Linked DNA regions of Xenopus tropicalis. The protein of the gene in region 1 purifies or fractionates together with the protein of each later gene. This does not show direct contact. Links are inferred from orthologs where the notes say so. Each region holds a gene or a part of one and is shown on either strand. Other genes may lie near its edges. The genes, in order: hip1r and picalm.

What was found.
Region 2: the proteins of hip1r (region 1) and picalm fractionate together in Homo sapiens (co-fractionation; 3 studies listed by BioGRID and IntAct, with this or other methods). This does not show direct contact. The link is inferred for Xenopus tropicalis from reciprocal best matches to the Homo sapiens genes HIP1R and PICALM.

Annotation. Positions count from the first base shown.
Region 1 is NC_030677.2:161,483,737-161,496,419, forward strand, and holds part of hip1r (huntingtin-interacting protein 1-related protein), read right to left. Parts: intron 12,302-12,683; coding exon 12,238-12,301; intron 11,246-12,237; coding exon 11,103-11,245; intron 10,106-11,102; coding exon 10,049-10,105; intron 9,725-10,048; coding exon 9,644-9,724; intron 9,543-9,643; coding exon 9,466-9,542; intron 9,320-9,465; coding exon 9,258-9,319; intron 8,095-9,257; coding exon 7,954-8,094; intron 4,960-7,953; coding exon 4,902-4,959; intron 4,488-4,901; coding exon 4,412-4,487; intron 4,291-4,411; coding exon 4,147-4,290; intron 1,830-4,146; coding exon 1,768-1,829; intron 1,179-1,767; coding exon 1,106-1,178; intron 372-1,105; coding exon 188-371; intron 1-187. UniProt on the Homo sapiens protein: Component of clathrin-coated pits and vesicles, that may link the endocytic machinery to the actin cytoskeleton. Binds 3-phosphoinositides (via ENTH domain).
Region 2 is NC_030678.2:171,685,014-171,697,696, forward strand, and holds part of picalm (phosphatidylinositol-binding clathrin assembly protein), read right to left. Parts: intron 10,493-12,683; coding exon 10,390-10,492; intron 9,199-10,389; coding exon 9,105-9,198; intron 6,245-9,104; coding exon 6,133-6,244; intron 5,333-6,132; coding exon 5,226-5,332; intron 4,094-5,225; coding exon 4,052-4,093; intron 1,058-4,051; coding exon 972-1,057; intron 1-971. UniProt on the Homo sapiens protein: Cytoplasmic adapter protein that plays a critical role in clathrin-mediated endocytosis which is important in processes such as internalization of cell receptors, synaptic transmission or removal of apoptotic cells.

The DNA.
Region 1 (12,683 bases):
TTGGTCGTTTGGTCCTAGAACCAACGGGTATAGGCACCTGTTGGTTTGGGGACCACATCAACGAGCCAATGCGGTCCCCGAACCAAAATCAAACCTGCTCAATCGAGATCTGGCTGATTCGATTGAAGGAACCAATAACGGCCGCTAGAATCGACCCATGTATGGTCACCCTTAGCCGAATACCTACTCTCTGCTTCCAGGAGGACCCCTTGTGTTTTCTCATTTTCCAGTTTCTGTTTCTTTAGCTTCTCCAACTCATCCCGCAACTGTTCATTATCTACTAAAGCCTTTTGTTTCTGCTTCCTCTGTTCCTCTAGCTCAGCCTCCAATGTGTTGATTTGTCCTTTTAGTTGCAAGATGTACTTTTGTGCCTAATGAACATAAAAAAGAAAAGTTTGCTAAGATAAACATTTTTAGTATCTTAAATAAAATGCACATTTTATGGAGACAATTATCAAGCACAGCAAAAGACATGTGCCTTACAAAGTAAGGATACTGTACATAGGCACTGCATACCAAGCTTATTGAAGCTTATACTTAAAGGAACAGTAACACCAAAAAAATAAAAGTGTTTTAAAGTAATTAAAATATAATGTACCGTTGCCCTGCGCTGGTAAAACTGGTAAGTTTGCAACAGAAATGCTACTATAGTTTATATAAATGAGCTGCTATGTCAACACGGGGGCAGCCATTGAAGCTGGGAAAAAGGAGAAAAGGCACAGGCACATATCAGATAACAGATAAGCTTTGTAGAATATAATGGGGTTTATCTGTTATCTGCTAAGTAACCTGTGCCTTTTCTCCTGTAAATGGCTGCCCCCGTGGCTACACAGAAGCTTTATTATATAAACTATAGTAGTCTTTCTAAGGAAAACACACCAGTTGTACCAGTGCAGGGCAGCATTACATTATATAGTAATTACTTTTATACACTTTCATTTTTTGGTGTTACTGTCCCTTTAAGAAAAGCAAAATAAAAATATATCCGTTGTAGTATTGTTGTTGTTGTAGTATTATAATTATATCTCTATGAGCTAAAAAGTACTGAACAATTTACTAATATTCTAATTCTAGCATTAGCATACTAATTAAAGGATAGTCTCACCTCCAGCTTTATTTTCTCTAGTTCAGCACGTAGTAATTCTATTTCCTTTTGCAGATTTTCAATTTGAAGATCCCTAAACATAATAAAGAGATTATTGCAATACACAAAGAAAGCACAAAATAAAAATCCATTTTACAACAAGGAAAATTATGCAAACACAGCCAACTAGGTCCTTAATATGCAATATATGTAATAAAGAGAAGGAGAAGTCATTTAAAAACTTATAGGGCAGTGCTGACTTTTTCTACACAATAAGCCAACTATCTAATATGCAATATATTGCAGACCAGACTAAAATAAGGTTATACTATAAAAAAGTCTGTTGGGGTATAAAAATGCCTTGAACGGTCATATCCAGAACACAGGCTTCCAGCTGGACTGATGTAGGGCAACACAGCTGAAAATATGAAAAATATGAAGTATAATATTTAAATCAGGCTAAACAGTTCTATCCTAAAAAAAAAAAAAAAGAATAAACAAGCAGATTACGCCAGCGTGTAAATCTTTTTCCACTATGAAATGTTTAATTATAATTGTAACTTTTTAAAAATGCTAGTGTTATCTCTTGTATTTTTGATTAATTAATTTACATTAATTTAACAGTTATAACCCCTTGTATCAAAATGATAAACACTGTAAAATGTAAAAGATTTTTTTTTTACCTGTCATCTTTCATAAGACCATTAGGAGCACCAAAGGTTTGCTGAAATAAGTCTTCCACAACCTAACAGAAAGAAAAAAAACTGCAGTATATTGCAACGGTCAACGTGCCAAAGGTCAAAATCTGGTAATATAATATGATATAATTTAATCAGATATCAAAACTAAAGGTAAAAAGTTAAATTGTGCCGTACAATTTTTGTTTTTGTCTCCATTTTTATATATCAGTGTTTTGACCCTCATTGGGGTCTTTATCAAGAGGGTTATAAAAGATCAAAATGAAGTTTTAAAAGTTCTTTTGCAAAGTCCCTTGAGCGCAACAGCTTCTTTTTGAAATACAGTTTGTGTTGGCACCAGGGCTGTTTCCCCTTTTAAGGTGTGTGCAGCTGTCCCACATCTACTGTCATACGGTCCTGCTCCGCTATATACTCGTCATTCAGTTACTAGCTGTAATAATAAAACATAGCTTGCACTTGATCCCAATTAAGATATAATTAATCCTGGTTTTTTTTTTGTTTGTTTTTTTAGAAGACTTATGGTATGGAGATCCAAATTACAGAAAGACCCTTTTATCCAGAAAACCTCAGGTCCCAAGCATTATACATAACGGAACCCATTCCTGTACTGGGTTAGTGAGGTCATGCTTAAACAATTTGGCACTAAAACTTATGCTAGGGTATTTAGAGGCACCTTGAAAAAGGTCTGAATATGTAACCAAAATGTTGATTCTAAAATAATAAAGGCATTTGTTATTTTGAAGCATGTCCTGTGAGTGCTACGTAAATTATGTGGATGTACACACAAACACCAGTGATGTGCAAGTCAACTAATTGTCAACCTGCCCCCGATCCTAACCTGCCCACTCAAAACCCACACCCAACCTAGCCTGCAGGTCTGCATCCATTTATATACGAGCGCCTGACCTGTCCTATCTCTGATGTTACTGAGGAGGCGGAGTGCACCTATAGATAGATGCCCCTGGATGCGGAAGCGGGGCCCAGTTAGGTCACAGGCAGGGAGGGCAAACCTGAATATGTTGTGCTCGTGTTGGGCCAAATTTTTTTTCCTGTGGGGGGTTTACCCGGTCTGCACAATACTATTACACACACATTATATTATATGTATGAGATCCCTTGTCCAGAAACAGAAAGGCCATCTTCCATAGAGTCCACTATAAGCAAATCTAATTTAAAAAAAAAAAAAAAAAAAAAAAAAAATTTCCTTTTTGCTCTTTAATAAGAAAACAGTACTTTGTACGTGATCCTGACTACAATACAAAAATCCATATTGGTTGGGTTTATTTCACATCTAAATGTAAGCAGACTTAGCAAATAATGGAAAGACTACTTACTCTGAAAATCTTAGGTCCCAAGCATTTCAGATAATAGATCCTATACTTGTTTATATATTATAAACCTGTGCAGTATAGTAGTGATGTGCGGGCTGCACAATATTGTCAGGTCATGGGAGGTTCAAGCTGAGCTCTACTTCAACCCACCCCACACGCAACTCTGCACTGCTTGACTTCTGAAAACCTCTATTTCTAGATGGCATGCCTGCCCCATCCCACCCCTCTTTGTGGTGTCAGAGATGGGCGGGTCAGGCGCAGGTCTATAAATAGTGGTCCACTGTCAGACAGGGTTTGGGTTGGGAGCGGGTGGGTTAGGGTCGATTGCAGTTCGACCCCGTACAAGTGGGACACAAGGGATACCTGGGAAAATAGGGAAAGATGGTGGCGTGGCACTTAGAGAGAACCCTGGGCTAGTAATTTTTTCCCCCTGAAGAGAAAAAAAATTAGTGAATTAAATTTAGTACCCCCTAATGTAATAGGCTTTATTTAGATTTTATTTTGGATATATTACAACAGTGCTTAAAAACAATCATGTAATAAAAAGGAAACTACATGTTATTTTTTTTTTTTTTTAAGTTTAAAAGAAATAGTTGAGGGATGTGTTGTATTCAAACAAGTGGCTCTTACAGGTAAACATTAAAAATATACAGTACTGTACAAAATTCTCAAACACTCCAGATCACAAAAATATTTCTCATACATGTGTTCTGTGTGTCTTGGGTCAATGTGTTAATGTAAACAGCAATAAATAGAGAAAAGACACATGCAATAGTCATTGGTATTACTACAGCCTTATGCCTGCTTTTGGTATTAGTTGTTTAAAAAAAACTGCCTGAACCCCCACTGTTAATAAAATACAGTTATCTCTCATTCTACAGCCTTAAATCACAGTCAGTTTTGGCATAATCAAGAATGTCATTTAATTCAAGGTATAAGATGTATTTGGCAAGATAATTGTCCTGGCAGTGAGCAATGATGGAGTTATTGGGGAGTGTATTGTATTTCAAAATAATAGAAAGAATTCAGTTACCTGCTCCTGCTCCACAGGCTGAGCTGCGCTGATCTCAATCAATGATTCTGCTGGCTCCTCATCTTCTGGAGTTTCATTGGGGATAACAACCACTGGTTTAACATGCTCTGCAAGGGCAGAGGCTCGCAAAAAGTTGGGTGGACCCTGATTTAAAAAAACACAAACATAGTTATGTCAATTTATGCAGACTAGTAAGCTAGCTTGCTTCTATATGTAATAAAAAAAAAAGTCCACTGTTGAAGTCACGACGATCAGTAAAACTTACATCAGGAAGACGGGGAATCTGAATGAGCCGCTTGAAGTACAGCATGTCTGATGCCCGTTTGAAGAAGTTTTTTAAACTGGAAAATATAATAACCCATAATATGCACTGTAATTCATTTTTTTTTTTTTTATACAGGTATAGGACCGGTTATTTAGAATGCTCGGGACCTGGAGTTTTCCAGGTAAGGGGATCTTTTTACAATTTGGATGTTCATTCCTAAAGTCTACTGAAAAATCTTTTAAGTATTAATTAAACCCAATAGGATCATTTGCCTCCAGTAAAGATGAATTATATCTTAGTTGGCATCAAGTACAAGGTACTGTTTTATTATTACGGAGAAAAGGGAAATCATTTTTAAAAATCAAGAATTTTTTTTGCTTATAATGGATAGTATGGGAGATGGCCTTCCCATAATTCACAACTTTCTGGATAAAGGGTTTCCAGATAATAGATCCTATACCTGTATGTACTTTCAAATTTACTTACATACCTATGAAATTGTTCATGAAATCGGTCTCTATGTCCCTGTAGAGTATCAGGAGGCAGACCTAGATTTAAGAGTAGAATAAATAATACATAAGGTATATCTTTGAATAAAGATTAAAAAACTGTTCAATATATAAACAGGTCAATGTATTTGTATATAAAATAAGTATTTAAACCCTGCGATTTTGCAAGTTCTCCCACTTAGAAATCATGGAGGGGTCTGAAATTCACATTGTAGGTGCATTCCCACTGTGAGAGGCAGCATTTAAAAAAAAATTCAGGTAATAACATTGTATGATTTTTAAAGAATTTATTTGTATTGCACTGCTGCAAATAAGGAGATTTTGTGATACTCACTGTTAAATCCTTTTCTCTCAGGATGTCTGTGGGACACAGGGACCTTGGGGTATAGTATCTACCAGCAGGAGTCAGGACACTAGAGAGGAAGAAGAGTGCGCAAGCCCCTCCCCTCCCTGCTACTATACCCCCCTTGGCTTCCTGCCATCCTCAGATAACGAAAAACGGAAATTACTATATACAACTAGGCAGATAGCATTCCATGTTGGCCGCTTCCAGGGGGGGAAGCCCTGTGTCCCACCGACATCCTGAGAGAAAAGGATTTAACGATGAGTATCACAAAATCTCCTTTTCTCTTGCAGGTGTCTGTGGGACACAGGGACCTTGGGGACATACCAAAGCTGTCCCATTGTCTAACGGGTGGGCAGAAGCGGAACAATTGGTGCCTTATAAGACTGCGGCCTGTAGTACTTTTCTACCGAAGTGAGTGTCAGATGCTGCAAACACCTCGAAGCTGTAGAATTTGGTGAAGGAGTGAATGGATGACCAGGTTGCTGCTTTACAGACCTGATCGGCTGAGGCTCTATTTCTGAGGGCCCAGGAAGCGCCCATGCCCCTGGTAGAATGAGTCGTGATCCTCGGAGGTGGCATTCTGCCCCGAGCAATGTAAGCCCTGCGGATAGCTTCCCTGATCCAGCGTGAAACGGTGGATTTAGAAGCCTGGAGACCCTTCCACGATCCCGTGGGGATCACCAACAGGGAAGAAGTAGATCTGATTTCTTTGGTACGGTGCAGGTAGAATTTGAGAGCCCTGACCGGGTCTAAGGAGTGCAGTGCCACTTGCTTGGGAGACTTCGGTCGAGGACAAAAGGAGGGGATGGTAATGTCCTGGTTAATGTGGAATGAAGAGACTACCTTCGGAGTGAAGGAAGGAAGAGTCCGCAGGACTGCATGGTCCTGATGAAATATCAGATAGGGCGGCTGACAGGATAGAGCACTAAGTTCGGACACTCTACGGGCTGAGGAAATGGGCAGTAGAAAAGTAGTCTTCCAAAGGGAGGTGATTGTAGGGCTGAAAGAACCAGGTTGAGGTCCCATGGAGGTAGGGGATCTCGAAATGGAGGGTGTTAGTGAGCTACCCCTTGAAGGAAGGTGACCACGTCAGGCAGAGACGCCAGGCGTTGCTGAAAAAGCACGGAGAGTGCCGATATCTGAGACTTAAGGGAGCCCAAGGAGAGACCCTTGTCCGACCCTGATTGCAGGAAGGAGAGAAGTCGAGACATGGAGAAGTCCTGGAGCGGATCCCGTGAGGTCGTCACTGAGGAGATGTTGCGCGGTAGGAAGGAGAGAGGAGAGTGAAAAGGGCACAAAGGAAGCTCGCCAAGAGGAGCAGTGAATATCGCGTGAGCTGGAGAAAGGGCCACGCGTTCCCTTAGGTGTTTGGAACGCAAGCGGTGGAAGGCATGGGAAAATAGAAACGGTATCGCTGAAAACGGCCAGGCAGGACTAGGGAGGGAGTCGTGCACCTACATATAGCTATGGGCAGTACTGACCAGGCAATGGAGGTGATGTAGGCAGGTTCTGGACAGCTTCTGTACTCCTTTTAGAAGGAGCCAGGGTATCTGTGTGGCCGTTCAAAAGTGTGGCTGGCCCCAGTGCCTAATGTGCCACAGAGGGGGAAGCCTGAACAGGAAACTCCTAGTGGAGGTCCTAAGGTCGACCCCTTGTGCCAGACTGAGTCTGGCCGAAGAACAAGTCAGTGAGAGTAAAGGTCCTGTCTCCTTGAGGGACACTAGAGAAAAAACTGAGGATGGCAGGAAGCCAAGGGGGGTATAGTAGCAGGGAGGGGAGGGGCTTGCGCACTCTTCTTCCTCTCTAGTGTCCTGACTCCTGCTGGTAGATACTATACCCCAAGGTCACTGTGTCCCACAGACACCTGCAAGAGAAAAGTATTTGAACACCTGAGAAAATCAGTGTTAATATTTGGTACAGAAGTGGGAGAACTTGCAGAATCACAGGGTGTTTAAATACTTATGTTCCTCACTGTACATAATAGAATAAAGGTGCATACAGTCCAATTGTAATGTTAAAACCCACACACATTTATATAAAGAATGGATGCCCATTGCCATTACTACAGTCCCACCTCATATCCAGGAACATTTTAGCAACTCACAAAGGCAATTCTGCTTGAAGTGAAGGGAATAGGTGCATATATTGAAATATATCTACAATATAGTCATATACTGGTGAGTGGCCAATACAGCCATAAAGCATTTTTTTGACAATTTCTTATTTGACTTAAACTTTTAATAATCACAATTTTTACTACAAACCTATTAATGGAGGTGATATTAAAAGATGCTTTGTGCACCAGAGAAGCTTTTTGGTGCTTCCTTTTTATTGGTTGACTGTCAGGCTTTCATTGATTCTGTCTGTATTTTACTGGATGGATGCCAACAAAATGGACTGCAAAGGGACACCTAAACCCAAAAAGTCTGAAGACCTCTAGTCTAAGCATTCCACTGACTGGAATGAACAGCAATTTCCAACTTTTACCTAGTAACATTTGCTAGCCACTCTTATTTCTGCTGCAGATTGCCTTGTACATTTAGCTGAAACATAAATATAAGTTAACAATTCCTCTCACATTTAACAAATAGTTTTTTTTTTCATTACACCAATTAAACGCATTAAATGAAGTTCAATTAATGATTCAGAGTTTTGCTAAATATTATTATAGCAGAAGGAATACTCACATGAATGGAGTTTAAACATCAGCTTAACAGTGTAATGGTAGAGATGGCTGCAATCCTGAATGACTTGAATAAGAGGGGCCAGCTTACACTGTCCTGCTGCCATCTGAGATACAGCGATTGAACTATTAAGCTGCCTGAAAACTAACAAAAAAAAGATGTATATTACAACATATTCTGTTCTGTAATCTATTCATTTGCTACACATTTTTCTTGTGTATCCCCCCCAATGGGGTAACCAGTATTATATATACCATCTATTCTGTAATTGTGATGCAGTCCACTATGTAGCATAGTTTCCAGTCACACACTGCACATATACTCTAGCAATAGGCCCCACCAACTCCTTTGGCATACTGTAACATGTAGCCTTTCCCCCCTGCAGCCATAGTGAATGGCACACAGAAAATCTCCTTAACCTATTGTGTTTTAATTTCTGGTTCTCTTTGATCAATGCATTCTGCATGTTGCCAGTAAACATGCGGCTTAAAAAAAAAAACATATTGTATTTTTAACTGCTTTAAAGGAGAAGGAAAGGCTAATAAAGAGTTAATCTCAAGCTGCAGGCATACCTTCAGTTCTTTCAATAGTGCCCTTAAGTCTCCCCATATTTTTCCCATTCAGATGAGCTCTGTAAAGACCAGTGAACATGCTCAATGTGTAAGACTATGAGGAAGCTTCCTGCTGATTGGCTCAAATCACACATTCCTAAGGGGGGGGGGGTGAGTTCTTAGCATTCTTGATGGAGGGGGGAGCAGGAGAAGGGAGAGAGCTGCCTGTCTCTGGCACAGGAAAAAGTGTCAAAAGAAACAGGATTTGCTGTCTGGGAAGTCAGTGCAGCGTTTCTGTGAGTGCTTATGGCTGTATTTACATATACCTTTCTGATAAAGCTTACTTAGTTTTTACCTTTCCTTCTCCTTTAATAATATATTCATCATATTCTCCCTTAACCTTTTTTCCACTAATTTACACAGTAGAATTATTGTGGTATAACTTCAAAATCATTGTCTGAATTGTAAATGTATGTCTTTTTTTTTCTTGCCTGCATTAGTTTGAGTTGCGATGTGTAAAAGATTGCTGCTTTACATTGTGGATTTTTAGAATAAATCTGTCATGTGATGACTTCTGGTCACAACGCCCAATTGCCCTATACAAAGACTTGCAGCATCAGCAGAAAATACAATACCTTGTCTAAACAATTTTTTTTGAGGATTTAGAAAAAAATTAAACTTATTCAGAAGGCAACATTTTTTGGGAAAAAAAGTCTGTACTGCCGCTAGAATAACTGAACCAGATCTTTTACCTACCAGCTTCAGCAAGCTTCAGTTCACAATCCATATAATCGAACATTTCCACTGTAAGCTGAAATCTAAAACGAATTAGAAAAAGGAAATACAAACACCTGGTAACTTTGCAGTAAAAAAAGATTTGTTTAAGTATGTAAAATGAAAGACAAGAATACTAACACATTATGCAATACTAATGATATGTTTGAGGCAGTAAATACCAGCGTACATGTTGTTGACATCTGTGCCAGCGGATTTCTCAAGAACATCATCAGTCACTTCCAAGCCCGGTGGAAATTCTGGGTGCTTGGGAAAAAATATGCCACAAGTAAATAGACAAAATACATTGCAAAGACTAAGTAGGAAATTAAATGTGTGTGTAGGAGTATGAATACATAAAACCTTACCTTTACATGAAAGCTTATTTTATTAAGCAAAAGCTTTGTATAAATATTCACAAGCTGCCCATAACGATCATGCATATGACCCTATAGGAAAAAGAATGAACATACAGAAATGTGCAGCTTTTACCTTTGCAACAGTGACAATGTTGATAAATCCTTTTAGCTAAGCACACACAACTTAGTGTAGATTGACACCATTTTATTATTTATTTCTTAGAGTTGTTCAAATATGTAACTATTTAAGAGTTCATGAACCAAACATTTTACTATAGCTATAACCAACACTCATGCTGTGAGTTGCTGACAGATATCACCAGCTCTTAAGCTGACCATAAACATACATATTGTTCAAAACAAAGTTTCTTTGGATTCAGCTGTTACTTTCCCGTTTCCCTAGTTTATACTCACCCACAGCTCTCCTGTTTCTCGAATGTTACTGCGGTATCGCTGACAATCTGACAGCACCTACAATTCAACTGAGCAGTTAGAAGACTAACATATTAAAACAAAACATATACTATGGCAATAAAGGAACGCACACAATAAAAAACCCTTATGACAGTAACTTCAAAGTTGAATGTGTGTAAATACATATAGCTTCCCTTATTCCCCTTGTTTAAACCTTTGTTCAAAACGGTGCAATGCAGCATGATAAAATAAAACAATCCCCTAATTTGGACAGTTGATCTTTTTATTAATATTATAATTGATGTGAATAAATTTATAATCTCAGGTAAGGTGCAATATACAGAACAATTATTGCATTTCAGCCAAAAACACAGATTAACGTTATTACCAAATATTTATAAAGCATCATATTTATTTATATTTAATCTGAAGAAATCTTCAAGTTTTTTTAGTGCAGGGGTGATTAATGTTTTAATTTCAAGGGGAAAATCCCAGTACATAGGGGAAAATAATGAATATATGGTATTGGGATTTTATTAAACAAGGGGTGGGATTGTAGAGAGGTTTGAAAAGAACAGATCAAGAGGGTTGTTAGTAAGGTAAAAAAACCATCTGAAAAGTATTCAGATGGCTGAACAGCTAGCAGGATGATGCTGTGTCATGTAATTTTTAGTTGTGTCAATTCTGCTCAGAAACATCTTTACATTCCTACATTTTGCATTAAAACAAATAATTGCATCTGATTCCCTATACAGAGAGCCCGCAAGTGGTGTAACCCTAGCCTTTGTGTGGGGCAGTAAGAAAAGGGAGTAAACCAGGTAAGAAAAACCCCTGGGAATGCCTAACTTCTTCACCCTGAACTGCACCACAGGGGACCTGGTGATTAAAAAATGCAGAGTAGCACAGAGGGGTCTGGTGGGTGCCATTTTTGCACCGCTTCAGGTCCACTTCTCTGAGCCACAGAGCAGGAATGTTTGAAGCCAAGTCCAAAATTAATTCCACTGCACATGCTCTGTAAATGTACCTGAAGGTCTGCGAGCTACATTATACTTACATTTGGATGTCCATCACGAAGGACCTTGTGCAGGACGTGGCAAAATTTCCAGCTCAAAATAGAACTGCTTGGTAATGGAAGACCAATGGCATATGACCAAAATGTAAATGCTCCTTTTTCATGATGAGTGCCCAAAATAATTCCTACATTTTGCATTAAGAAAAACTGTAAAGCGCTTTAACAGAAAACTGCATTATAATAATCCCGTGACATTTGTTCACTGCACAAAACATACTCTGTATTTCATATTGTGAAAGTCTTTTTTTTTTTTATGCAGCATAATAGTAAACTATATATAAAAGGCCAGTAATACACAAAATAAACAATGACCTGTTTAGTTAGTTTCATATCACAAGGTGTGCTGGGTTGTTTCCAAGACCAGCAGTCTCATTTCACTTCACAGTCATAAGCCATCTGTCTCTAACTACTGTCACCCATGCAATCCTTTCTTAAGCTAATCATAAATTAAAAAATCTGCTCGTTTAGTCACCAAATGAAAGGTGGCTTGGGTTGGTTCAAGTTGATCAAATCATTTGGCCCTCAGGCTAACAATCACAACTTAACTGCAGCTAGACAGTCGGGGTGAGGACCGCATCAACAGAGTCGTCGTGGCTTGCCCAAGAATCTCTGGGTAGGCTTTTAGATTGCTTGTATCTCACTGGACTTCCAGTGTTTTCTCTCCATATTGGTCTTTATACATGGGACAGTAGCATGCTATGTATTTCCAAAAAAGGCAGACATACTGGCAATAAGACTTGGGTCACTTTGTCACTCATGGGAAATCTCCTTTCCTGAAAGAATAACCTCCCCTCCAGATCTACTGAAATCGCTTTACATGTGGCAGCCCCGCCACCTGCTACAATCCTAAAAATCCAAATAAGAACACAAAGACAGCTTTAAAGTGCCTCTGATGAACCTTATACTAACCTAACAATAATAACAAAGCTAGATTTGTCATATTTGATGTTGGGGTTTACAGAGACCTAAACAATTCCATTTTTCAATTTCCTATATCAAAAAAAATGGCCTGTAGCAGATAAATGCATATAGCTGAAAAGAGAACATTTTATAGGAAGCAAATCCTATCACAGCTGATTTCCCGGTTCACAAATAAAGCATTGTTTAAAAAGGATACTGCGGGCGTGTTTCTCTTTTACTGGAGCTTCCTGTGTATTGATAGCTTTACTGATGCTGATGGCCTAGAGAGGGTAAAAGATAAACATGTTTACATGTCACAGTACCATATATTCCAGCTGTGTAAAAAAAAAACAATAACATAACAATAACACATAGCATAACAGTGGAGAGAGAGGAACCATTAATTAGAGAAAAGGGATGAAGCAAAACCATTATTTTTTGATTAATACTGAATCCTCAAGAAAAGATTTGGCCAAATAGCAAACTGAACCAAAATGCTAACTTGCATACTATAATGTATAAAAAATGAAATAACTGCATAATCTGTTAACAAAAATTTTCATTTGGTCAGTGGGTCTTAGGGTTCAGATATGGTTTAAGATGAACACTCAAATACAAATCCTACAAAATATACCAGCATTCGGCCAAATACGTGTAATGTAA
Region 2 (12,683 bases), on another chromosome or scaffold:
TACTGCAAATCAGCCGTGGCCTATCCCGGCAGTAGTGCTAAAAGGCAAGTCTTAATACAGGGATGACTATTACTGTCATGGGAAAACATGTTTGTTACAAACCCCATCAGTTAATAGAGCTTCTCCAGCAGAATCCTGCATTGTAATCTGTTTTTCCCATGGGGCTAGCCATATTCTTCATTTCCCAGGGTGCCACAGCCATGTGACCTGTGCTCTGATAAACTTCACTCACACTTTACTGCTGCGCTGCAAGTTGGAGTGATATCCCCCCCCCCTCACCCCCAGCAGCCGATCAGCAGAACAATGGGAAGGGAGCAAGATAGCAGCTCCCAGTAGGTATCAGAATAGCACTCAATAGTAAGAAATCCAAGTCCGGCTTGGGACTCCTCCAGTTACATGGGAGTAGGAGAAACAATAGGTTAGCTGAAAGCAGTTCTAATGTGTAGCGCTGGCTGAAAGCTCAGACTCAGGCACACTTTACTGCTGCGCTGCAAGTTAGAGTGATATCCCCCCCCCAGCAGCCGATCAGCAGAACAATGGGAAGGGAGCAAGATAGCAGCTCCCAGTAGGTATCAGAATAGCACTCAATAGTAAGAAATCCAAGTCCGGCTTGGGACTCCTCCAGTTACATGGGAGTAGGAGAAACAATAGGTTAGCTGAAAGCAGTTCTAATGTGTAGCGCTGGCTGAAAGCTCAGACTCAGGCACAATGCACTGAGATGGCGCCTACACACCAATATTACCATTACAACGTCACCGCTGGGCAGTTTTACACTATGGAGCCATTTGAGGGGCTGCAGAACAAAGAGCCAGGGAACCTGCTAATCCTGCTTCTACTTGAAAAGGAACAATATTTTCCCTGTGGGATATGGCGGCATACAATAAACTGTTAGCGGGTAGGAACATGAGGAAAGGGTGGGCCATGTACACTCTCAGCTAGGATTCTGGTGCCTCAGTGTTGCATACACATACCTGCTCGCTGCTGTCGAGTCTTTGATTTTCTTCCCTTCCAGCGAGGCTAAATGTTGTTCCAAAGCATCAAGTAGACTGCTAGGAGCCTGCAAAGACAGGAAGTCTAACCATATTATAGCAATAAAACCCCCTAGCACCCATTTATTTCATATTAGCAAGCAAAATATCAATTTGCAAATCTAATGTGTGCTATTAGTGGCACTGCGTTCTATCCAGAAATATTCCCATAAGGATATTAGCAGTCACTGAGGGGTTCTGTGCCCATATAAAGGCACAAGGCTGCAGGCTGAGTTATACAGGGAACTCTGAGTATCACTCATGTATTATAAGGGATAATGTACCCCCTACTGTAAATGATAAGGATATTAGCAGTCACTGAGGGGTTCTGTGCCCATATAAAGGCACAAGGCTGCAGGCTGAGTTATACAGGGAACTCTGAGTATCACTCATGTATTATAAGGGATAATGTACCCCCTACTGTAAATGATAAGGATATTAGCAGTCACTGAGGGGTTCTGTGCCCATATAAAGGCACAAGGCTGCAGGCTGAGTTATACAGGGAACTCTGAGTATCACTCATGTATTATAAGGGATAATGTACCCCTACTGTAAATGATAAGGATATTAGCAGTCACTGAGGGGTTCTGTGCCCATATAAAGGCACAAGGCTGCAGGCTGAGTTATACAGGGAACTCTGAGTATCACTCATGTATTATAAGGGATAATGTACCCCCTACTGTAAATGATAAGGATATTAGCAGTCACTGAGGGGTTCTGTGCCCATATAAAGGCACAAGGCTGCAGGCTGAGTTATACAGGGAACTCTGAGTATCACTCATGTATTATAAGGGATAATGTACCCCCTACTGTAAATGATAAGGATATTAGCAGTCACTGAGGGGTTCTGTGCCCCCCATATAAAGGCACAAGGCTGCAGGCTGAGTTATACAGGGAACTCTGAGTATCACTCATGTATTATAAGGGATAATGTACCCCCTACTGTAAATGATAAGGATATTAGCAGTCACTGAGGGGTTCTGTGCCCATATAAAGGCACAAGGCTGCAGGCTGAGTTATACAGGGAACTCTGAGTATCACTCATGTATTATAAGGGATAATGTACCCCCTACTGTAAATGATAAGGATATTAGCAGTCACTGAGGGGTTCTGTGCCCCCCATATAAAGGCACAAGGCTGCAGGCTGAGTTATACAGGGAACTCTGAGTATCACTCATGTATTATAAGGGATAATGTACCCCCTACTGTAAATGATAAGGATATTAGCAGTCACTGAGGGGTTCTGTGCCCCCCATATAAAGGCACAAGGCTGCAGGCTGAGTTATACAGGGAACTCTGAGTATCACTCATGTATTATAAGGGATAATGTACCCCCTACTGTAAATGATAAGGATATTAGCAGTCACTGAGGGGTTCTGTGCCCATATAAAGGCACAAGGCTGCAGGCTGAGTTATACAGGGAACTCTGAGTATCACTCATGTATTATAAGGGATAATGTACCCCTACTGTATGTAGCATCTGACATGGGAAGATGCTGTTTATAAGGATATGATTATATATATACAGCGCACGGGGTAATACCCACAGGGCAGACTATAGATCAATCTGAACAACCAGCAGCTTTGCCTTCCACACTATGTTTCTGAGGTTCCATAACAGATTGGTGAACACTAATTAATCCCAGCCTACGAGTTCCTGCCAAAAGCGAACATTAGGGATTAGAGGTTCCAGCTGAGGAGTGGGGAATGAATGGCCGCCTCCTGCCTGCTAAATATCTGGAATTCCTTCCAATATATTCTGCTCTAAATGTGCGTTTAATGGAATTGTAGGGATACTGACAGTATTCTATAGATCTCAGGACCATACAAACAGCTTTCCAGGACACATATATACAGGTTTTCCCTTGGGCCCAATACACAAGTGTTGGTTTAGACCCTCTCTGCCTGGAAACACATCAGAGCAGTATTAATGGGTAAAACATCTTCACTTGCTCCGCCATTTGCTGCCTGTGCAGCTGTAAAGCAGCCATTTGGGCAGATACTCCAAAAATGTTCTGTATGTGCTGGCCGGGCCGCTGGTGAGGGAGAATGGGATCCAGAAGGCATTCCTGCGCTTGGCTACACAGTGCATTATGGGAGCACTTTACTAGCAATCTATTAGCAGATCTAAAAATTTCTTAGAAAAATATTTTCCCATGAACCTTGTTAGTCCTTTATCCCTCTGCTCGTCAGTCAGGGCCAGCCTGTAGCAGATAAGGAGAGATATGCACGCAGCAAAGGGCATTTATTTGCCAGCATTTGGAACATACAGGTACTAGCATGGCCATAGCAAGGTCATGGGAAAATCCCAGCCCTAAATATACTGAACCGTAACCCCCAAAAGGAGAGGCACAGTCATGGAAACACAGGATATAATAATAAAGGGGAATCATTTTCCATACGCACATATAGTAAGGAAGAAAAGCTTTATATGAGGTGCTGGTAGCATGTCAGACGTCACCCATAGGAATAAATACTAATATGCAGCAGGAATTATACTTTGTAATCCTTTAATATGAAGATTATCCACACAGAGCAATGCCAAATAATCACCGTATTTGCTCTTCATGCTGCTACACCTAAGCATAAATAACATGGCAGCTCCTGTGTTTGTGCAGTGATGGGTTTAATGGAAACAATATGGCAGCTCCCATCCATCACACACACACACCTATCAACAGGGCTGCCATCAGGAAAGAAGGGGGCCCCATGCAACTAAGTAAGTAGTCAAGATTAACCCTCTGGTTACCTGGGTAGAGGGCCCTGCCAACAAATATAAGTCCCCAACCCCCCCCAATGTCCCACCCATGCTCCCCACAAACCCCACCCATGCTCCCCACAAACCCCACCCATGCTCCCCACAAACCCCACCCATGCTCCCCACAAACCCCACCCATGCTCCCCACAAACCCCACCCATGCTCCCCACAAACCCCACCCATGCTCCCCACAAACCCCACCCATGCTCCCCACAAACTCCCACCCAAGCCCATAATTGCAGTTACACAGGCTTTTGTTGCTCACCTGAGAGAGATCAGGTATATCTCCTCGATCGATCCCAACTTGCTGAAATTACAAACAACACTAAATGAGTTTAAAATATAAGAACATACAAGTGTGAAGCCACAGTGGTTCCTGTTGCAGGTTCAGGCCTTCCAGCTTTCCAATAGGGGTCACTGACCCCGGCAGCCAAACACTGTTGCTCTGTGAGGCTACAATTGTATTGTTATTGTTACTCTGTAATAGTTATCTTTCTATTTAGGCCCCCTTTTATTCACATTCCTATCTCTCTTTCAAACCACTGGCTGGTTGCTAGGTTAAACCAGACCCCAGCAACCAGATAGCTGTTGAAATTCTAAACTAAACGCTGCAGCACTAAATAATTCAAAAAATAAAAAATGAAGACCAATTGCAAATGGTCTCAGAATAGCATTCTCTGCACCAAAGTTTATTTCAAGGTGACCTGCTATTTGTCCGTTTTCCCCTCCATACTCAAGTGGTGACCATGGCAACGGCCAACTTTTTAGTTTTCCATAAACAGGTAGTGTAGCCTGGCACAGAGTCTGCCATTTGTACGGTTATTGCTAACGTTGCTCCCATAAACAAACCCGGTAAGATATACAAAAGCAAACATTCCGATGCACAGAAAGCCGCACACCATAATAGGGAACATTATGAATATAATAGCAGGCTTATAAATAGCGGGGCCGTGGGCGCCAAACACAGGCAGCCATATGCAATGGCCATGATTCCCCGATGAGTCGCAGGGACACAGGAAACTGCCGGTTACTGCCAAGTACTCCCAGTATTTCCCTTAAAGGGGCAGTGCAGCTTAAAGTTACCGCTTAGTAAGTTATAGAATGGCCTACTCCTAGCAACTTTTTTTAATCGGTCTTACATTTTCTAATTTGCTTTCTTGTCTCTCTTTCGATCTTTGTAATAGGGGGTCACTGACCCCCTCAGCCAAAACTATTGCTCTGTGAGGCTCCAGTTTTATTGTTACTTTTTATTCCTCATCTTTCTTTTCAGCCCCCTTATCTTTCTTTTCATATTCCAGTCTCTCAAATAAAATGCTGCCTGTATATTGGGGTAAAAAGCTAAATAATTCAAAAACCAAAACAAATAAAAAAAATGAAGACCAACTGCAAATAACTTATTGAACTAAATAAAGCCTTCCCAAGAATTTTACTAGACTCACCTCTGCTACTTTCAGGAATTCGGAAATCCGGGTCATCCGTGTCAGGAATTTCTTATAGATATCGAGGCCTTCTTTACACTGATTTTTCTTCATGTCAAAATATTTTTCTAGAGACAGAAAACAGCCTCGTTACATCAACCTCACTAATAAGGGGCAATTACAATAACAATTTCACAGAAACCCCTAATATCCCTATCCCTGTAATCTGTTCCTTCAAACAGTAGGAATAAATCCCATGTTTATAGGCTGAAATCCAGCTGCAAAACTGTTCTACTCTTTCTGCATCATTTGTAATCCTGGCAGGGGAGGAGGGACTAAACCACTGATGTTACAGATTGTAACAACTTCCCCACAGCTTACAGACAGCATGCAGGAACTACATAACCCACAATGCATTGCACTGGGATGTTCCTTTCCTTATTGACATCACGTGTGCAGCAGGGAATTGTGGGATTGGGAGGAGGCAGGCTGAGGGGAGGGGACTACTGTTACATTTTATTTGAGTCACAAAGTAGCCAGCCAGAACAGCAGGGGAACAGAGGGCGGGGCTTAGGGAACAGGGGGCGGGGCTTAGGGAACTGTTCCAAACCACAATATTACATTAAACTAGGGATGCATTGAATTTTTTGGATCCCGCCGAACCTCCGAATCCTTCTGGAAGGGTTAAATTTTGTTGTGCGTGCAAAAAAAGTTCAAGTTCCGTGTTTACATGACCAAAAGTCACATGATTTCAGTTTGAACCGAACTAAATACTGGATTCATTATTCAGTGCATCTCTACATTAATCATCATTAAAAGGCTGCATATTTTTAACTGCTGTATATGTATAAGTTGTGTTTGGCTTAAGTTCCCCTTTAAACGATGAAACCCAAGATGCATACAGCACCCACACGTTACTCATACTCACCTAACAAATTAATTATCCCTTCATTGTATGCAGCAAACAGTCGTATGGCATCTTTGAAGAGGAGCATAAAGGCAGCATTAATTACCCCGTTTGTCAGCTCGTTGGCATTAACCTAGAGGGACAGAACAAGGAAATGCATGAAGGCACCGTGTCATCTGTTAGTATGATGTACAGAGTAATATTCTCAGGCAATTTGCAATTGGTCTTCATTTTTTATTATTTGTAGTTTTTTTTTTTTTTTTTTTTAATTATTTCAATTATTGTTCAACAACTCTCCAGTTTGGAGATGTAACAGCTATTGGGTTGCTAGGGTGCAAATTACCTTAGTAACCAGGGAGTGGCTTGAGAGAGTGACTGGTATATGAATAGGAGAGGGCTGAGTAGAAAGGTAAGTAATAAAAAGTAACAATAAAACTGGAGCCTCACAGAGCAATCGTTTTTTGGCTGCCGGGGTCAGTGACCCAAATTTGAAATGTGGAAAGAATCAGAAGGTGACGGCAAATAATTGAAAAAAACTGAAATAAATAAATAATGAAGACCTATTGAAAAGTTGCTCGGTATTGGTCACTCTAGCATATTAAAGTTAAATTAAAGGTAAATTCCCTTAAATGGGGCCTATATTGACATTGCATTTGAAGCCTTGCAGTTCAGCAATCTCCTTCTTACCCGCGCACCAATGAGCTGTTACTGGAGCAAACGAGACACAAGACTAGAAAGTAGTTCCACAGCAGCGTCTGGAGAAGGTTGCGAGACAAAGCCCTATGGGGTATCCCTTTGTATATGGGGGACACAATTAGGGATGCACCGAACACCTTTTTTGGTTTAGCCGAACTCCTGAACCCACCCTGAAGGATTGGTCCGAATACCGAACTGAATTCGAAACCTAAAAACTAAGATCTTTTTCCTTCGAGGAACGCCACAATATCACCCCAGGGGCCCCCCTTCTAGCAAGCTGTGTATTCCCCAGGGGGTGCAGCTCGGACTCGGCCAGCAGGCTTGCACTCACAGGCTGACCGGCCATTTGACTGTAGCTGGGGGGGTTATTAGGCAGCTCCCAGTATGGGTGGGTGTCGCTGCTCAGACTCCCCTGGGTGCCTTGCACCAAAGCAAGAGATTGCAGTAACATTACCTTGGCTTTTCATTGGCACTGAGTGGAAATGTACAATAAGGAACACAAAGTAAGGACAGGATCCGTTCAGGTGTAAGTTGAAAGAGCTGTTATTTTCCTACTTAATAGAGTCTGTCTCCTGTTATCTCTGCACTGTAACCACATTAATAAAGCCACCAGTCTATGGAGTAGGAGCTGCTCCTGGGGGAGGCCACGTCTCACTGATTACAATCAAAAGGTTTTTGTAAACAAACAAAAAAAAATTACATGAGGCACCGGCATAATAAATAAAAGCTAATCTGCAAATCCAATGTTAAAGTGGGCCAATAAAAGCTGTTGGCTTGGCTTCTCCATGCAGTCTGCAGCTTATTGGTCCATGAATTGTGCCAGGTATCTACCGGGCAGGTTTTAAATACCATTTTTCAGTATGTTAAAGTGACACTGTCATGATATTTATGGGGCACTATTTATTTCTAAATGACACTGTTACACAGCAAATAATTCCCTTTGCCATTTAACCCTTTATTCTTGAACCAACAAATGTATTTGTAGCTGTAATATTGGTGTGTAGGCGCCATCTCAGTGCATTGTGCCTGAGTCTGAGCTTTCAGCCAGCGCTACACATTAGAACTGCTTTCAGCTAACCTATTGTTTCTCCTACTCCCATGTAACTGGAGGAGTCCCAAGCCGGACTTGGATTTCTTACTATTGAGTGCTATTCTGATACCTACTGGGAGCTGCTATCTTGCTCCCTTCCCATTGTTCTGCTGATCGGCTGCTGGGGGTGAGGGGGTGAGATATCACTCCAACTTGCAGCGCAGCAGTAAAGTGTGCCTGAGTCTGAGCTTTCAGCCAGCGCTACACATTAGAACTGCTTTCAGCTAACCTATTGTTTCTCCTACTCCCATGTAACTGGAGGAGTCCCAAGCCGGACTTGGATTTCTTACTATTGAGTGCTATTCTGATACCTACTGGGAGCTGCTATCTTGCTCCCTTCCCATTGTTCTGCTGATCGGCTGCTGGGAATGAGGGGGGGGGGGGGGGGATATCACTCCAACTTGCAGCGCAGCAGTAAAGTGTGCCTGAGTCTGAGCTTTCAGCCAGCGCTACACATTAGAACTGCTTTCAGCTAACCTATTGTTTCTCCTACTCCCATGTAACTGGAGGAGTCCCAAGCCGGACTTGGATTTCTTACTATTGAGTGCTATTCTGATACCTACTGGGAGCTGCTATCTTGCTCCCTTCCCATTGTTCTGCTGATCGGCTGCTGGGAATGAGGGGGGGGGGGGGGATATCACTCCAACTTGCAGCGCAGCAGTAAAGTGTGCCTGAGTCTGAGCTTTCAGAAAGAGCCAGCGCTACACATTAGAACTGCTTTCAGCTAACCTATTGTTTCTCCTACTCCCATGTAACTGGAGGAGTCCCAAGCCGGACTTGGATTTCTTACTATTGAGTGCTATTCTGATACCTACTGGGAGCTGCTATCTTGCTCCCTTCCCATTGTTCTGCTGATCGGCTGCTGGGGGTGAGGGGGGGATATCAGCCCCATGGGAAAAACAGATTACAATGCAGGATTCTGCTGGGGAAGCTCTATTAACTGATGGGTTTTGAAAAAATGTTTTCCCATGAGAGTGTTCCTTTACAAAGTGCTTAGAGATGCAGTCCAGAAACATCTGGGTATCCAAGGTTAAGAATCAGGATGTTACATAAATAAACGGTGTGTGTGCAGGCACTCAGTGTACCTATTCACCAGGCCGGGTAAGGGAACAACATCAGACAGTAGAATAAATACCAGGTCCCATAGGGGACTGAGCAGATGTATGGAGGACCCGGGGACCTTGAGACAAATGAGTAAAATACTTACATTGAAATCAAGCAGCGCGTCCATTTGGTTCTGTATAATGGGCATTGTCTTTAGTAGCTTTTCTGTACTCATTGTCCTCATCACTCCATCAGTCCTGGAAGGAAAAAAAAATTTAAAACCATCAGTCTAAATTTTCTGATACAATGAAATTTCAAGGCCCAATATAATGATGGTCTTTTTGGTCAATATTAAAATATAGGGGGGTCCTGTATCAACCACTTCCCAAACTACACAATTCTATGAAAGCAATGCTTTATGGGATCTATTATCCGGAAGGCTAAAAACCCAATATGGACGGATGAAGCTTAATTACAATCATGCATACAAGCTCACAAAACCTTTGCCTGTGAGCTCAGAATGTTCTTCTATTATTGTTATTTCTAATTGCTTATCTTTATATTCAGTATCTCTCCTATTCCAGTCTCTCGTTCAAACCAATGCCTGGTTGTTAAGGTAAACATGACCCTAGCAGCCAGATAGCTGCTGAAATTCCAAATGAAAAACCACAAAAAAGAAAATGTTTTGCAACTTGTCTCAGAATCTCAATGTCTGTGTCATACAAAAAGTTAACTGAAAGATGAATAACCCCTTTAAGGTGAAGACACACAGAGCTACTAAGTAGCAGCTACTTGTCACAGTTACTAAACTCCAGAAAATCCCCTGCCATAGACAATACTGAGAATTGCCTCTGCTAAACACACGTAGAGACAATTATCAGTAAAATGATCAGCATTCTCTGTTTTGGTAGCCATGACAAGTAGCTGCCACTAGTAGCTCTGTGTGCCTTCACCCTTAAGGCAATGGGATTGCTGGGCACCCACTGTGACCTACAGCACTTATATTTGCCTATTTGTGTCTGTAAGTTACCCTCCCATATAGATTGTAAGCTCTACGGGGCAGGGACCTCCTTCCTCTTGTGTCTTTGACTCTTAACTTATTGCAACTGTATCTTGTATTTATTTGTATTTATAGTTATACTTTGTATTTATCTATTATTATCTTAATAACCCCCTGTTTGTCTTAATGTATTCTACTGTACAGCGCTGGGTACATAAGTAGCACTTTATAAATAAACATATACACACATACATACATACTTCCATAAAGTACTAGCAACCTGAATCCCTATGTTCCACCGGCACTGCAGGCCAACTGTAGTGTTACTGTCACTTTAAATGGTTTTATCTCTCTTACAGCACAGGGTATCCATATACTAAACTATCACAGCATGGATTCAAGTTACACATAGGTAAAAAGGTAACGGAAATAATAATAAAATCCTTACCCTCTTTTTACTTTGGTGAAATCAAAAGCAACTTGTCTGTAGGAAACTGCCTTTTCATTCAAGTACCGACTGTATCGCCTAATAAACGTAGACATGTCGTATCCTAGGGGAAGAGAAGCCCTGTATTTAGTGTACGGCACACAGTATTATTGTATATTGTTATCAGTAACAATAATTCACATTCTATATATTATATATAAAAAAAAAAATTAAGGGCTGATTGAGAGGACTGCTCACTATAACTGTTCAAAATACACAACTTTATTTGGTACGGGACGGACAGTTGCATCATGTGATCACTTGCAGTTATTATGCAAGAAATGCACTTTATTTGCTTAAGGAAAGATCCCTGCACCTGTAAAAGGCATGGTATTCGGCTGCCATTACTTGTGGCAGGGACCCAACCACTGCTAGATGCATGGAGTGAGCACTAACATTCAGCCTGAAATTGTAGGATATCAATTTATAATATATAAGTCATAAAAATAAAAAAATCAGACCAGGTTTTGGCCATTGGATAATCCCCAGGCAACAATTGTATGAAAAGTCATGCCCCAGAAATGCACTGTAGGTCCCCCATGGATATTGTCAGATACACAATACATGTGCAGTAGTGATGTGGGGGCCGGCCCAACTTCCGTAGGTTTGCCTCTGCACAAGATTTCCGGGTTGCGGGTGGTTTTGGTTCTACTTGCTCTCCCCACTGGCGACGTGTTATGCAGATATCTCAGAGTATAAACAAGGAGGCATCTCCAGATGAAGTGCAAATGACTGATCAACAAAAATCTCCTTCAACACTGTCAGCTTCCCAGTTCCGGCTCTCTTATTTATAGGTGCATGCCGCCCCTGCCCCTCCCCTTTTGTGACATCAGCAGTGGGTGGGTCAGGCGCGGGTCTATAAATAGAGGGGACTAGCCGGTTTAAGGTCAAGTGTGCGTTGAGAAAATCTTGACCCTGCACATCACAAATGGGCAGATATCGTTATCCGACCAAAATGTTCTGTTCGATTGACTCAACGACCAATCGCTATGGTATGAAAAGTATCAGGTCGATAATTCAGAGGAATGTTACGCCTCCTACGTAGATTTATGCTATCGTAATATCAAGTTCAGTTTATATGTACTGTTTTAGAGATAAAGAATCAGTCAAATCAAAGAATTATACAGCATGGGAAAATGATGGGAAACTTTATATATTAGGGAACTTTCTGGATAAGAGGTCTCCTGATCCCATACATTATACCCAAGGGATTTTCTGCTTCTCAGCTGATAGCATGTGAATATTATCTATTTCAGATAACAGAAAGCCATTTAGCTTTATGGTTTCCTGACTGCTAATTGCAGGTAACACTAATCATGTACATAGTTAAACCGCAGAGTGGTTAATGGGTTAAACATCCTGCCCATTTATAACTGCAATGGAAGAGAGTACTGACAGAAAATAGCAAATCAATATTACAATGGCAACTCCACAGAACTGGGAATAATCTCAAGGGAAAACCCATTAACACCTCAGTAACACTCCGTAACTGCAGCTGAATTGAGTTTATTTTGATGCTTAATTAAACAACCATTCATACTCTGCCCGCTGCTCAGCACAATATATAGTACTGCCTGGGCTCTAGCCTCTATATAAGGCCCCCGGGGGTCACATAAAAATGCATGGAGGATCTAAACAATTGCCTCCCATCTCTGTTCCAGCAGATCTTCCCAACAGCCAGTTCTGTGGATACCCTACAGAGCACTAAGCAGGACAGACAAGGATTTCAGGGAAATGGGATTGTTCCTATTATAAACAGAGCCAGATAAACACTCTGTGTGTGAATCAATTTAAAATGTATTTGTAATATATTACATTAAAACACTGAATAAAACAGGCTCTCTTATTCCTCAAGATCCATTAATTATCCCATTGCTTATTCTGCCCTGATTTACTGGCTCGGCTTGTAGTTTTAGCCCTGCCCAATCAGACACTGTCCCAGGCTGGCTGCCCTATCACCTACCATAGCCCTCCTACTGTGTTATAATACTATAAAGATGCAAAAGTGGGACATATCTTGAGTATCTCTCTCTATGGCTCACTATAAAGCCACTATAGAAGGGATATCTCGCGTCAGAGCATGTAGCAAAAGATGTTATTACTGGGTACAACATGGGTACTGCTCTGTACTAAGCACTAGTGTAAGGATTGCGAAGCCCTTTCACTGCCTGCCTTGGGCTGCCTACTTTTTCCTTAGTAGCCTTAGGACACAGTCCAGAATTCCCAGATGTTTCTGGCATGAAGACTTTCAGAAA